Linked DNA regions of Caenorhabditis elegans. The protein of the gene in region 1 interacts with the protein of each later gene in a pairwise test. Each region holds a gene or a part of one and is shown on either strand. Other genes may lie near its edges. The genes, in order: pdhk-2 and bmk-1.

Region 1 (6,269 bases):
TACAGTTACATGTGTGGTTCTGGTCAACCATTATTTCAGAAACATGCCGGATGTTTTGCAGAGGTACTGCCACAGTTTCACTTGTTATTCTGAAGATAGACACACTTTAGACACAACACTTTTAATCGTATATTATAAAAAATCACAAACTGGTTTAAAAAAAGTTGGTATAAACTAAGTACAGTATTCGGCAAAAGAAACTTTAGAATATTTCTAATTTGGAAAGAGTCTGGACAACTGTTTTAAAAAAATAACTGTCATAACTTGATCAATTGATTGGTTAAAAGAGTATCAGAAAGACAGTTGTCTAGAATTTTTCTACAATTTAAGTTTCTACTCTTTTGTGATTGACAACATTTTTGCATCTACAAATAATGTTGTGACACTCTTCGTCTTCTTCAACAAAGTTACAGTAATCAAATTTAAGGTCGAAGCCCAAAAAGAGTATATCAGCTGTAAGATAGCAGCCACTCAAGCAATTTCTGAAGCACAAGGAGCAAAAGTGAGTTCATTTTGTTTCATGTTTTGAGTAGATCAAGTATGAGATTCAGGGATCATCAACAGAAGCGTATTTGACTGAAATGTGTCGAGCGATGGATGGATATTTGAGATGTTCTCATCCAATTATTTTGGCAAAGTGTGGTTCCGATGCATGGACATTAGTTTCTACTGTATGTTTATCAAGGGCAAAATTGTTTTTTTAATTCTCAAAATTTGGCATTTCAAGATGTTTTTCTTTTTCTTAAAAAATTCTGATCTTTTTCGATCTAGTTAAGAAGAGTAATTTTTTCGAAAAACCAAGAAATTCCAAAAAGCGTTCCTACAACCATCATTAGTTTAAAAAAAAACATATTTTTGATCAGTTTGGCAGATTTCAAGTAATGATAAATGCACTGAATAAGTTTCAGATCTACTTTTTGCCAGATTAAAGTGCTCTAGGGCACGCCCCTAACGTTTTTGTTGGGTACTATTTGAAAATTGGTCATTTTCCAAATAAGATCAATAACTTTCCTTGTGCAAAAAATCCCGTATTATTGAAATATCAGCTAATTTCAGGTGACACGTGACAGTCTTGGTGTGACAATGCCCAATTGTGACATGCATTCTGCATTATTCTAATCTCTACAACGAGTAGTTCATTTTTTCTTCTCAACTTTCTGTATACTGGTTCTGGTTCACACACTTTTTCTGGCATTGCAATTTGTTTTTACTTACTTTAATTTATTTAAATCTTGTGAAATTTGAGGCGCAATAAATAAATATTCGTAATGTTAATTTGCAATATAATTCGTTGTTAACTCAAAAATACGGTACCCCGGTCTCGACACGACCCGAACCGACGCCTTTAACGAGTACAGTAGTAATCGACATTAAAAAAATTTAAAAAAAACTTTCGGTTACAAAAAAGCATTTATAATGGCAAAATAGTGAAGTAAGTCAGTGACATCAATAATTATTTTAAACTATTGTTTTTAACGCTGGCTTTTCTTCAAAAAGCTCAAATTCCCATATTTGTAATTTTAAACTACCGCCGTAAACTTGAATTGCGCAAGACACTGAATTGCGTCAGTGTCCGCCTTGGCGCATCCCTCGATTTTCATCGCATCGGCCGAACTCGAAGCGAGATGGGAGGAGGAGATTGCCGACGTGCAATTTATACTCTCTGTTTCACTTTTTTTCAATATTCCATAATTTTCTCAATGCGGCAGCGTAAACAACGTATTTCTCTTGATTGTCCCACTTTGTACTTTCTCGTTTTCATTTCAAAAATAGAAAAAAACAAATTAATTTTCAGATGCGCTTTTCGCGGAAGTTACTAGGCCCTTTCGTGGGTTCATTGGCCAAGAAACTCGATTATTATAGGTAATAATATTTGTTTCAGCTTTAAAAACCAGGAGATTATGAAAAGTATCGTTTTTAATATTGGAATCGATGGCCTTTGTTCTCTGCCCGGTCTGTTTGTTCCAGGGAAAACTAGTTTTTGTTTATTTTTAGCCGGCTAAGGCGTCGTTTTTTTTTTATTTTTCTGCACTGTTGAGTGAATTTTGATCTTGTTTCGATGAAAAATTCAATATAAAGTTATTTTTCAGTCAATTTCAACCTTCATCACTTACAATTCAACAATATTTGGATTTCGGTCGAATAGGAACATCAGCAAATTCATACACATTTTTGAAAAATGAGCTTCTCGTTCGTTTGGCGAATATTATGCAGGAATTCACACTTCTTCCACCAAAGCTTCTTCAAATGCCAAGTTCAAAAATGGTATCAAATTGGTATGCTGAGAGTTTCGAGGATCTTCTTTTGTTCGAGGCATCTGATTCATCTCCAGAGCAAGTTGCAAGGTAAGAGAAAAAATTGAATACCTAATTTACAAAAAAAAACTTGATTTTTTGGTTTTAAAAGTTTAGAAATACATTTTTAAAATATTAATGTTAATTTATGTTTTTCAGATTCAATGATCAGTTAACAGTCGTACTGAAAAGACACGCACATGTCGTCGAAACAATGGCTGAAGGATTGATTGAACTTCGAGAATCGGATGGAGTAGATATTGCAAGTGAAAAAGGAATTCAATATTTCTTGGATCGATTTTACATCAACAGAATTTCCATTCGTATGCTTCAAAATCAACATCTGGTAAGTTATTTTAAAAATTTTAATATTTTCAAATAAAACATTTTTTCCAGGTTGTATTCGGAAATGTTCTCCCAGAAAGTCCTCGTCATGTTGGATGTATTGATCCTGCCTGTGATGTGGAAAGTGTAGTGTACGATGCTTTTGAAAATGCTCGGTGAGTGCAAGTTGATGATAAAATTGCCTAGAAATTAAAGAAATAAGCCGATAAAAGTCCAAAGTTTCACCAGAAAATGTTCTAAAATTTTTTTTTTGAGATTGATGTTCAAGGCCCTCAGCAATACCTTCCATTTCTTCATTTTTTGCTTCTTTGCTAGAACTTCCGGCTCTTAATTCTTGCAGAAAATTGTGATAAATTAATTCTGAGTAAATTTTTCTCAAAAAATTTACGAAAAGTCAATAAATTTTAACAAAAATTTCCGTTGGACCGCTCTGGTCCTCATCAGGCCTTCTCAACTATACGAATGGCGTCTTTTGGGTTTTTGATAAGCTAGTTCTTCGCTGTCCGTCTGCGACGAAGATTGAATGTGCTGTGTCTCTGGGTGAGCACATAGTCGTCAGTTGTCATTTGAGCCTGAAAACATAGTTCATTCTCTCTACCACCACTGCCCATTCAACCTTTCTTCCGTGCAGGGAGTGTTCTTTGAGATGGAGAGGGATGACGTTTGATTTTTTAAAACGCGTGTGATTTCGGGCAAACCTGATCATTTCAAAGAACGAAAATATGAATTAGAGGGATAAGGAGGAAAATATGCAATTTTGATTTAGAAAATTTCCGTGGGAGTTTTATTCTGATCTTTTACAAAATTATCATAGAAAATTTGATTTGAGGGTTAAAAAAACACAAAAAAATTTTTAATGATTTTTTTCACTTTTGCAAAAATAAAGGAACGGCTGAAACTATTTCACCTGAAATTTAGCGACATGATTTTAATCGGAAAAACTTAAAAAAAAACAGAAAAAGCTAATATTTTCATATAATAATTTTTTGTTACAGATTTCTATGTGATCGATACTACTTGACAAGTCCATCAATGAAGCTTGAAATGCACAATGCCGTTGAAAAAGGAAAACCAATATCGATTGTCGCCGTACCAAGTCATCTCTATCACATGATGTTCGAACTGTTTAAGGTTAGCTATGAAGATACGAATTAAAAAAAAGACGACGCCTCTTCATCACTTCAATGTAACAAAGTGCCTTTTTGAACGCACACACTTCTTCCCCACGTGCTGTTGCAGTTTTGATACTAAAAAAACGATAGAAAAAGAGAGATAAGAGATGAAAATGATAAGAGAATTGGAAAAAGAGGAATTAAAAAAGGAAACGATTAAGTTGAAAGTAGAAAGAACAGAAAAATGTGTATGGAGGGGTTTTCAAATTCTCTTTTTTTTACAGAATGCAATGAGAGCGACAGTTGAATATCATGGAGTTGATGATGATCTTCCAGATATTAAAGTTTATGTAGTCAAAGGACAAGAGGATTTATCTATTAAGGTATTGAATTATTGATTGGTTTCGAAAATCAGTCGTATTTTATTTAAAATTACTGTACATTTTGGTGAGGTTCTGTGGATTTTTGCCCTAAATTACAGAAGACAGTCTCAATATACTGAGTATCATTTTTTTTAATTTAAAGAATTTTTTCTAAATTTTATGGAATTGTTTTACTTTTTAGAGATTGTAAAACATTTTTTAAACAATTTTTTAGAGTCTAAAAAATACTAAACTTTCTTTTAATTTTTTTGTCAAAAATTTTTTTTTTAAGTTACTGGAAAAATTCTAGCATATGTATATACAGTTATTGAAAAATTCGAATGTTTTATTTTAAAATAAAATTGGTTTTTTTTTGCAATTTTTGCCGCAGGTTTCAAATATTTTCTTTTACAGATTTGTGATCGTGGAGGAGGTGTATCCAGAACTATTCTCGAACGTCTCTACAACTACATGTACTCAACAGCTCCACCACCGCCACGTGATGGAACACAAGCTCCTTTGGTAAGTATTTTGAAAGTAAAAATAAACAAAAACAATGGACCAAAAATTTATATTTGTGAAAAACCAAAAAACAACAATAAAACCATTATAAATCACATTTTGTTTCAAAAAAAATTTCAAAGCCAATTTTTGATCAAGTTATAGAAGTTTTAAGAGTTTTTTTTTTGAAAAAAACCAGTATTTAAAAGTTTTCTAATTTTTCGAAAATAAGTTGAATTTTTAATAACTAGAGTCCAGATTCATACTGTATGGTTTATATTTTTAAAAATCGAGATTTTTAGGCTGGTTACGGATACGGACTGCCACTATCTCGACTATACGCTCGGTATTTCCTTGGTGACCTCTTTTTGGTTTCCATGGAAGGACATGGAACGGATGCATGTATCTACTTGAAAGCTGTACCAGTTGAGGCTAGTGAAGTACTCCCAATTTATAGTACTTCTTCGCGTCGAAATTTGACAATGGGACCACAAGTAGCTGATTGGTCGCATCATGTTCCTGGTCAAGGAAATCGTCCAGCTCAATCATGATCGTACTCGAGTTTTTTGTATTTATTGCTCTTTTTTTGTAAGTTGTGAATATATTCTAGCCATTCATTTTATTCGTCTTTTTACTTCTACTGTTCTCCGTTTCTGTCTATCCGGTGTCCATCAAATCCCGAGAATTCTGTTGTATATAAAACATTTCTAGCAAAATTATTTGTTTTCTTTCTGAAACTTCTTCTAGCTCTACTCTTTCTCGGACATTTTTTTTGTATATAATCGTTTGTAGGTGCGATGGGCTCTATTCTTCTTCTTTTTCTTCTCTCCCCGTATTTCACGAGTTCGTTGTGATTTGAAATCCCTCCCGAATTAGACTCACAACTTTGGAATAAATCATTCAAACTCATACATTTGAATTTGACAAGTTTGTGGAAAAAAGAAGAGAAGATTCTTCTTTCCATCTTTTTCTTCCATGACAAAACAATTTAATTTTCGCGCTGCGCACTCGGCGACGACTACTAGGATGAGAAGCTGACGATGTGCCATGGAAATCTTGGTGTTTTTGTGAGCGCCTTTTCACATTTGAATGCTTCCATGGAGTTCAATTGAGAACATAGATGTGCGGCACATTAAAAAATCTCCTTTTCTGGAAATTTATATAGAATTATCTGTACTTTTTGCTATCTTCAGAAAGTGCAAATATTTCTCTGTTTCTATACTTTTCTGTTTAGGCGCTTTCTTTGTTGTTTGAAATGTTTTTTTTTTAAATATTTTAAGCTACTATACGAGTTTTCAAATATTTTTTAAATAAAAATTATAACTTTTAAATTAATTGAAACTATTTCTTTGACGAAAAGTCCAGCTCTGAATTGATTCAAAAAACTTTAAAAAGCTACAAAAATGGCGCTGGCACAGAAAAGTGGGCGTGGTTTAGACATGCAAGAGTGCGGCGCAGTTTTTGTTGACTTTTTTCCTGTTATATTTTTTGTAATTTTTCATTTGTTTTCAGTTTCGAACGGTTGTTTTTCTGATTTATTCGGTTTCTTTTTTCGAAAAAAACGGTTAAAAATTCATAATTCTATCTAATATAATTTTTTATCTCTTTCTCACATTTATTCCTGCTTACTTCGCGTACACAGAATTTCCTATTAA
Region 2 (6,171 bases), on another chromosome or scaffold:
ATCTTCCATTATGTGATGCATTTCTCTCTGAAAAGAAAAAAGCGGAATAATATTGTTTTCTCATCTTGATCGCATACTAATGGAATTTTATAATTGATCCCTTCTTCTGCTCCTTCGTTCTCAGACGTTTGTTTCTTTGTAGCACTAAGAGGAACTTTGGGAATTCTTATTGGAATCGAAACTTCGTCATCTAGATCCATGTTTTCCGAGACAAGTCGTGGAACATCCATTTGTTGTGGCGGAATAAACTCGGTGTTCTGAAAATGATCATTCGGTTTTTAAAGACTTTAAATATTATACATACGATTCCAGAGTTCCTCGCTTCCTCCATTTCTTCTTCCATGCTTCTTCTTCTCTCAGTTTCGTCTAGTGTGATGGGGAGTTGGCGGAAAAGAAGCATTTCCTTCAGGTGTGTGGCTGGTTGAAATTCCTCTTCTATAAATAAAAAACAATATTTCTACAATTCATTTTTAATCATCAACCTTGTGGAATAGATTTGGTAGGTGTCATGAGCTGGCTCCGGATAAAGTCATCAGATGGGCGTTGAAAATCAGTCTCCAAATTCAGATTATGAACATTTTGACGGCAATCGTTGGAGGAATATCGATCGATGAATGTTCTGAAATATTCTATATATATTGCAAACAATATAAGGAGAGAACTTACAAATCAATCGCTGTGTTCCGATTTTCTGATTCCAACATCCCGTACATCATTTCAAGTTGTTCCATTGTTGGTGCAGCCAAATCGTCTTCAACGTTAATTTGGTCGTTCTTGTGAAGACTGAGAACATCTGGCATTGTAATGTTTTGTTTTAGAGCCACACTCTGTAATAGATTTTATTTTAATTTTGATTTTTGAAACATTTAGACTTACGATCGGGGTAGGAGTGAGAGGAAATTCCTCAACCATCGTTCTTCTCTTCTTCTTTGGTGTTTTAGAGTTGTCACCTTCCATCTGTTCACGAGTTTTTCGTTTCCTCTCATCTTCTTCCGCGAGGTACGAAGTGAATGCGACGATCTCTCGAGCACGAATTGCATCTTCTGTAATATTTGTTAAAGTGATAATTTAAATACTGGCAACGTACGAAGAAGTCGAGCAACTTGAGTACTGAGAACTATGGTGTTTCCGTACACCAAATTACACGCAATGGAGAGAGATCTTCTGTTTTTCCTCTCGTTACTGAGAATCCACTGAATGAGCTTGCTTGCTTGAAGAACATCGTGTCTGAAGCACTCACGACGATTTGATTGCAAGCCGAGTTTCTTGTGAGAACCAAAAACTATTCCTCTGCAAGAAAAAATTTATTAATCCGGCATAAAATACTTTTTATTACAATAGGAACTTCACAGTCGCTTCCTCCGACGCTTTGAGCGGTACATCGATGCTTATCACCATGCTGATTGTTACCTTTCTTACCCGTTTGACTTTCTGCAATTTTTAACTGCAAAGATGTTTAATGCAGATACTCGAAAGAAACGAAAAAATGATAAAAAAGTGAAAAACCCCAAAAATAAATTTGAAAACTCCGCGTAAGCTTGCTCGATCGCTGCGAGACCATTGCATACCGTACTACTTCTTTAAAGGCGCACACATCAAATCTAGCTGTTTCGTGACAGGACCCAGCAATGTTCAGCCGCGAAGTTTTGAATCGCCATTTTTTTTTAATTTCTAGAATGTTTATAGTTTTGCTTTCGATGAGATTTTTAAGCATTATGAGGAACAAATTTTTTTAAAAACTTTAGAAGTTTTAAAATTTAATTTTGCGATTATGCTTTGCTTTCGCGTGTCCTTTCCGTTGTTCCTCGCTCCAAATATATCACAGTAATTAACCACTACTTATGTAGTTATCACGTTTCTAAAAATATAAATTCATTTTTATTTCTCTATTGATTCGGTTTGTTGCTCTTCTTGTCTCAATCTTGTGCTACTGCCGAATACCCTGCTAATTTTTCGTTTTCAGTCATTCGATTCACTTGGGTTGTTGTTTAAAATGGTAAGATTTTTGCAGGTTACTTTCTTTCCCATGAGGTAAATGCATTTATTGCGGGTGCGCTCTATCGCACGACGCCGCGAATCATTGTATTTCAAATTGATTTTCCTGTTGCACTTTTATTAGTTACAATTTTTATTAGTTATTTTTAGTTGGATTCGACAATGGCATCCCGCAAGAAGCACTCCGAGCCCACGTCCAATTTGCGAGTCGCTGTTCGTATTCGGTGAGTTTTAAACTTATTTTTACTTCAGTTAAATATGCCCCTTTTATAGGCCAATGAATGGCACCGAGCGCAGTGAAAAGTGCACCAACGTTGTGAAAGTGGACAAAGGAAAACAAGCTATCGAGTTGAAGGGAAAGTCATTTGGCCCATTTTTCCGGACCTATGACCCAGACACGACTCAGGAAGAAATCTACTCGGACCTCGTGTCATCACAAATTAAGAAGGTTATCGCAGGATTTAATTGCACAGTTTTTGCGTTAGTAGACAGGACGGTTCAATAATATTCAATATAATAGTAATTTTCAGCTATGGACAAACTGGAACCGGAAAAACGTTCACAATGGAAGGAGGGAGAACAGACGCAAAAAGCTCAACTGATGACCCTACGACTGGAATCATACCTCGTGCCGTTGAGGATATTTTCGAGCAGTTGGAAAGATGCGGCTGTGAGGAGTATTCGCTTCGAGTCAGTTACATCGAACTCTACAATGAAGAACTGTTCGATCTCTTGGCTTCGACGGATAATGAAGATCGTGAACGCCTTCGCATTTTTGATGATCCAAACAAGAAGGGAGTAATCGTTTCGGGCGTGGAAGAAGTGCCTGTGCGAAATCGTTCAGATGTCTTCAAACTTCTACAGTTGGGTGCTGAGAAAAGACGAACGGCGGCCACTTTGATGAACATGCACAGTAGCAGATCTCACAGTCTCTTCATGGTCAATGTCGTCATTCGGGAGAATACAACCACTGGCGAGGAACTGGTGAAGCAAGGAAAGCTTAATCTCGTTGACTTGGCTGGTTCTGAAAATATCGGACGATCAGGAGCACAAGGAAATCGTGCTAAAGAGGCTGGTTCCATTAACCAATCGCTTCTGACGCTGGGAAGAGTAATTCGTTTACTGACAACCAATGGCCAGCATATTCCATACAGAGAGTCGAAGTTAACTCGTCTTCTACAGGACAGCCTCGGTGGATCTACAATCACTTCTTTGATTGCTACGCTATCTCCTTCAAGCTCCAATTTCGAGGAAAGTCAGAGTACTTTGGAATATGCTATGAGAGCGGCCAATATCAAGAATAAGCCAGTCTGCAACACAAAATTATCAAAGAAGACTATCCTCAAAGAGTATTCGGACGAAATTGAGAAGCTGCGAAGAGACTTGAGAGCTGCAAGAGAAAAAAATGGTGTTATTATCAGCCAAGAATCGCATGATGAGTTCCAAAAGAATTCGGAAAAAGTTCAGGAGCTCGAACAACATTTGGATAATGCTGTGGATCGTTTGCGAATTTTCACTGAAGATCAGATGCACATGGATGAGCAGTATAGACAGTTGTACGAGAGAAAAGGAGAACTCGAGGATCGTCTGAGAGATCGAATTCGCGAAATGGCTGTCAAAGAGAAAGAACTCGCAGATACTAACGATGTGCTCAACAAGCATATCGAAGTTATCGGTTTGATGCACACATCAGCACTGAAGGCATTCGATCAACTTACAACATCTCAAGGAGCAGCTGATGAAATGCAGACTGATCTTCGTGCATTTTGGCGAAAAGTTGATGAGATGGAAAGAGCTGACGACAGGAATAAAATCGTCATTGACCACTTCTCGAAAAAGGTAATATTAGGATTATCTCATTCTTAGTTAGATGTTTTTTTTCAGATGAGTGATTTCATCGACACGACCTCAAAGCTGACGAACTCGCTGAAAGCTGATGGTGATCTGTTATCAAAGAAGTTGTCGGAAAATATTTGCCCTCATGTCAAATCAATGGAATCTGCTCATCGAGACATTGAGAGTACGGCAATGGATATGGAGACACATGCCATATGCATAATGAAGAAATCGTCGGAAGCGGAGAAGAAAGTCATCGACAACATGACTGCCATATCGATGGAAAATCGAATCAGATTGGAAACAGTCATGAAGACGTGTGATGATTTTTACAAGTCATACTCGGCCAAATCTCAAGAATTCACTCAGATGGTAGTTGACAAATTGGATGAGGTGAAGAAACAAGTATCCGACTTCACAGAAGATATGAAACCATTGGTATCTACTCTCCATCAAACCACATGTGATAGCTACGAAGCACGAACGAATGAAAGTAAGAAGAATGTGGAGCATGTGAGAGCTGCCTGTTCTTCGATGGCTGATTCCATGAAGGCATTGATGTTGCAAGTTGAGCAGCTGTCGACGAAAGTTGCGGAGAATCATGAAAAGTAAGTTTTGCAAGCGGACTTTTTCTGATAATTGTTTTCAGACCATTATAGTTGTTGTGAGATCATGTTTTGATAATTTATTTTTCAGGCAAGTAATTGCGGATCAGAACAACCAAGAAACAATTCTGGATACTCTAAACACAGCAGAAACCGTAGTTCAATCACTCGAAGACAACATTGTGGAGACTTGCGATGTGAAACAAGAAATGGACGACACGAAAAAGACTCTGAAGCAGACTGATGCAAAACAGGAGAACCACATTCAAGTTGAAAAGGAACGAGCGGAGGAAAAGGAAAATGAAGTCAAGGTTCGCAGCAAATTTTTATTTTATCCATTTATACAAATCGATTTCTCGAAGTTGTTCTATTTTCATAAACCCAAATATTGTTCAATCGCGCAAGATAATACATTGTTTTCAGGTCGCTCTCAAGTCATTTTCGGATGAGGCTGAAGCTACGCGTGGAGAGGCAAGGGAGTTTTCGAACACCTTGAAAAGCAGGTTCTCGGCAACCAGTGAAAAGTGCAAAGTAACTGGCGAGCTGGTTTCGGATTGCACCAAGAAAGCAACAGACGAATTGGTTAGTTTTTCCGTGAAATGTGTCTCAATAATGTGATTTATCTTTCAGAGTTCGCTCCTCGATGAATTCACGAAATCGACTATTGTCGTGACAAAGGAGTCGGCCGCCGTTGTCAATTCTGTTGTTCTGGTTCACGTGGACCCATCAGGTTGGTTATCATAAAAAATAACCATCAAGAAAATTATTTTTTCAGTGAATGTCCCACAAAGAATTCTTCCATCGTTCCCACTCGTCTCGGAGTTGAATCAGCCAGTCGAACCCGAAGTTCTTCTTGGATTTGGAGAAGGAAATGACGACTTTGACACCGATGAACTTGCCACAAAGAAGCGTCGTGTCACATCCTTCGTCCGCCGAGACAGTCTTCTCGAAACTACGAACAATTTCCTCAGTCCTTCGTCGATTATAAAGAGAAGAGAACAAGCAATCGAAGAAGAAGAAGATTTCGAAAACTAACGCACACACCAACTCGTTCCATGTCAAATATTTTCTCATTTCTTTAATGTATTCCGCTAATTTTTCTCGTGAAATTCAATAAATTTCTTTGTATTTTAATGACCGGCGTTTTAAACAAATCATGGAAAGCAATTTTCAACAGGTTTCGGTGATATTTCATTATCACACTCATTTAAGATTCAGCACAAAACTATTAGTTCATTTTTCAGAGCTACAGTAACCCTCTGGAATAAAAATGAGCTATAGATCAAATTATCACAGGGATCTTGGAAACATGAAATGAAGTTACAAATTTTACTGAATTCTAGGTTTTTTGCGTTTTTTAGCGCGCTCTAATTTCAAAAAAACTGGCTCACTACGAAAATCTATCAGGTTACTGTAGTTTCGGCTGAAATAGTCTCAGCGAAGTCTCAGTAAATAGAAGTAATTTCAAGGATAACATTTATTCCGTCAACATGATAAAATATACGAAAACAAAATTCAAAAAAAAACAACAGAGAAAAACAAATAACAATTAATGAATCCAAAAGCTTTAACGCTTTCTGAACTTTTTGGCTCCACCTCTCTTGAAACCTCCAGTCGATCCTCTCTTCTTTCCACCTTTCTTCTTTCCACGTTTGCCATCGTCCTCTTCCAAATCTTCCAACATTTCTGCGAATTTATCTCCGGCCATTTCGTAATCATTAGCTCCGATTTCTTC

What was found.
Region 2: the proteins of pdhk-2 (region 1) and bmk-1 interact in a two-hybrid assay, tested with the Caenorhabditis elegans proteins (one large-scale study listed by BioGRID).

Annotation. Positions count from the first base shown.
Region 1 is NC_003281.10:8,736,939-8,743,207, reverse strand, and holds pdhk-2 (putative [pyruvate dehydrogenase (acetyl-transferring)] kinase, mitochondrial), read left to right. Parts: upstream 1-1,795; coding exon 1,796-1,863; intron 1,864-2,090; coding exon 2,091-2,345; intron 2,346-2,453; coding exon 2,454-2,640; intron 2,641-2,690; coding exon 2,691-2,794; intron 2,795-3,634; coding exon 3,635-3,770; intron 3,771-4,035; coding exon 4,036-4,134; intron 4,135-4,527; coding exon 4,528-4,635; intron 4,636-4,916; coding exon 4,917-5,165; 3' UTR 5,166-5,522; downstream 5,523-6,269. Other genes in the region: nssp-33 (DUF19 domain-containing protein), read left to right, coding at 1-63, 428-502, 552-671, 1,057-1,119. UniProt on the Caenorhabditis elegans protein: Inhibits the mitochondrial pyruvate dehydrogenase complex by phosphorylation of the E1 alpha subunit, thus contributing to the regulation of glucose metabolism. Required for normal lifespan.
Region 2 is NC_003283.11:14,452,702-14,458,872, reverse strand, and holds bmk-1 (Kinesin-like protein), read left to right. Parts: upstream 1-1,888; 5' UTR 1,889-1,993; coding exon 1,994-1,996; intron 1,997-2,145; coding exon 2,146-2,219; intron 2,220-2,268; coding exon 2,269-2,475; intron 2,476-2,525; coding exon 2,526-3,834; intron 3,835-3,879; coding exon 3,880-4,439; intron 4,440-4,527; coding exon 4,528-4,747; intron 4,748-4,859; coding exon 4,860-5,018; intron 5,019-5,066; coding exon 5,067-5,166; intron 5,167-5,211; coding exon 5,212-5,471; 3' UTR 5,472-5,571; downstream 5,572-6,171. Other genes in the region: coh-3 (Rad21/Rec8-like protein C-terminal eukaryotic domain-containing protein), read right to left, coding at 1-27, 78-257, 305-435, 483-619, 667-827, 877-1,043, 1,088-1,290, 1,337-1,398; F23B12.7 (uncharacterized protein), read right to left, coding at 6,004-6,171.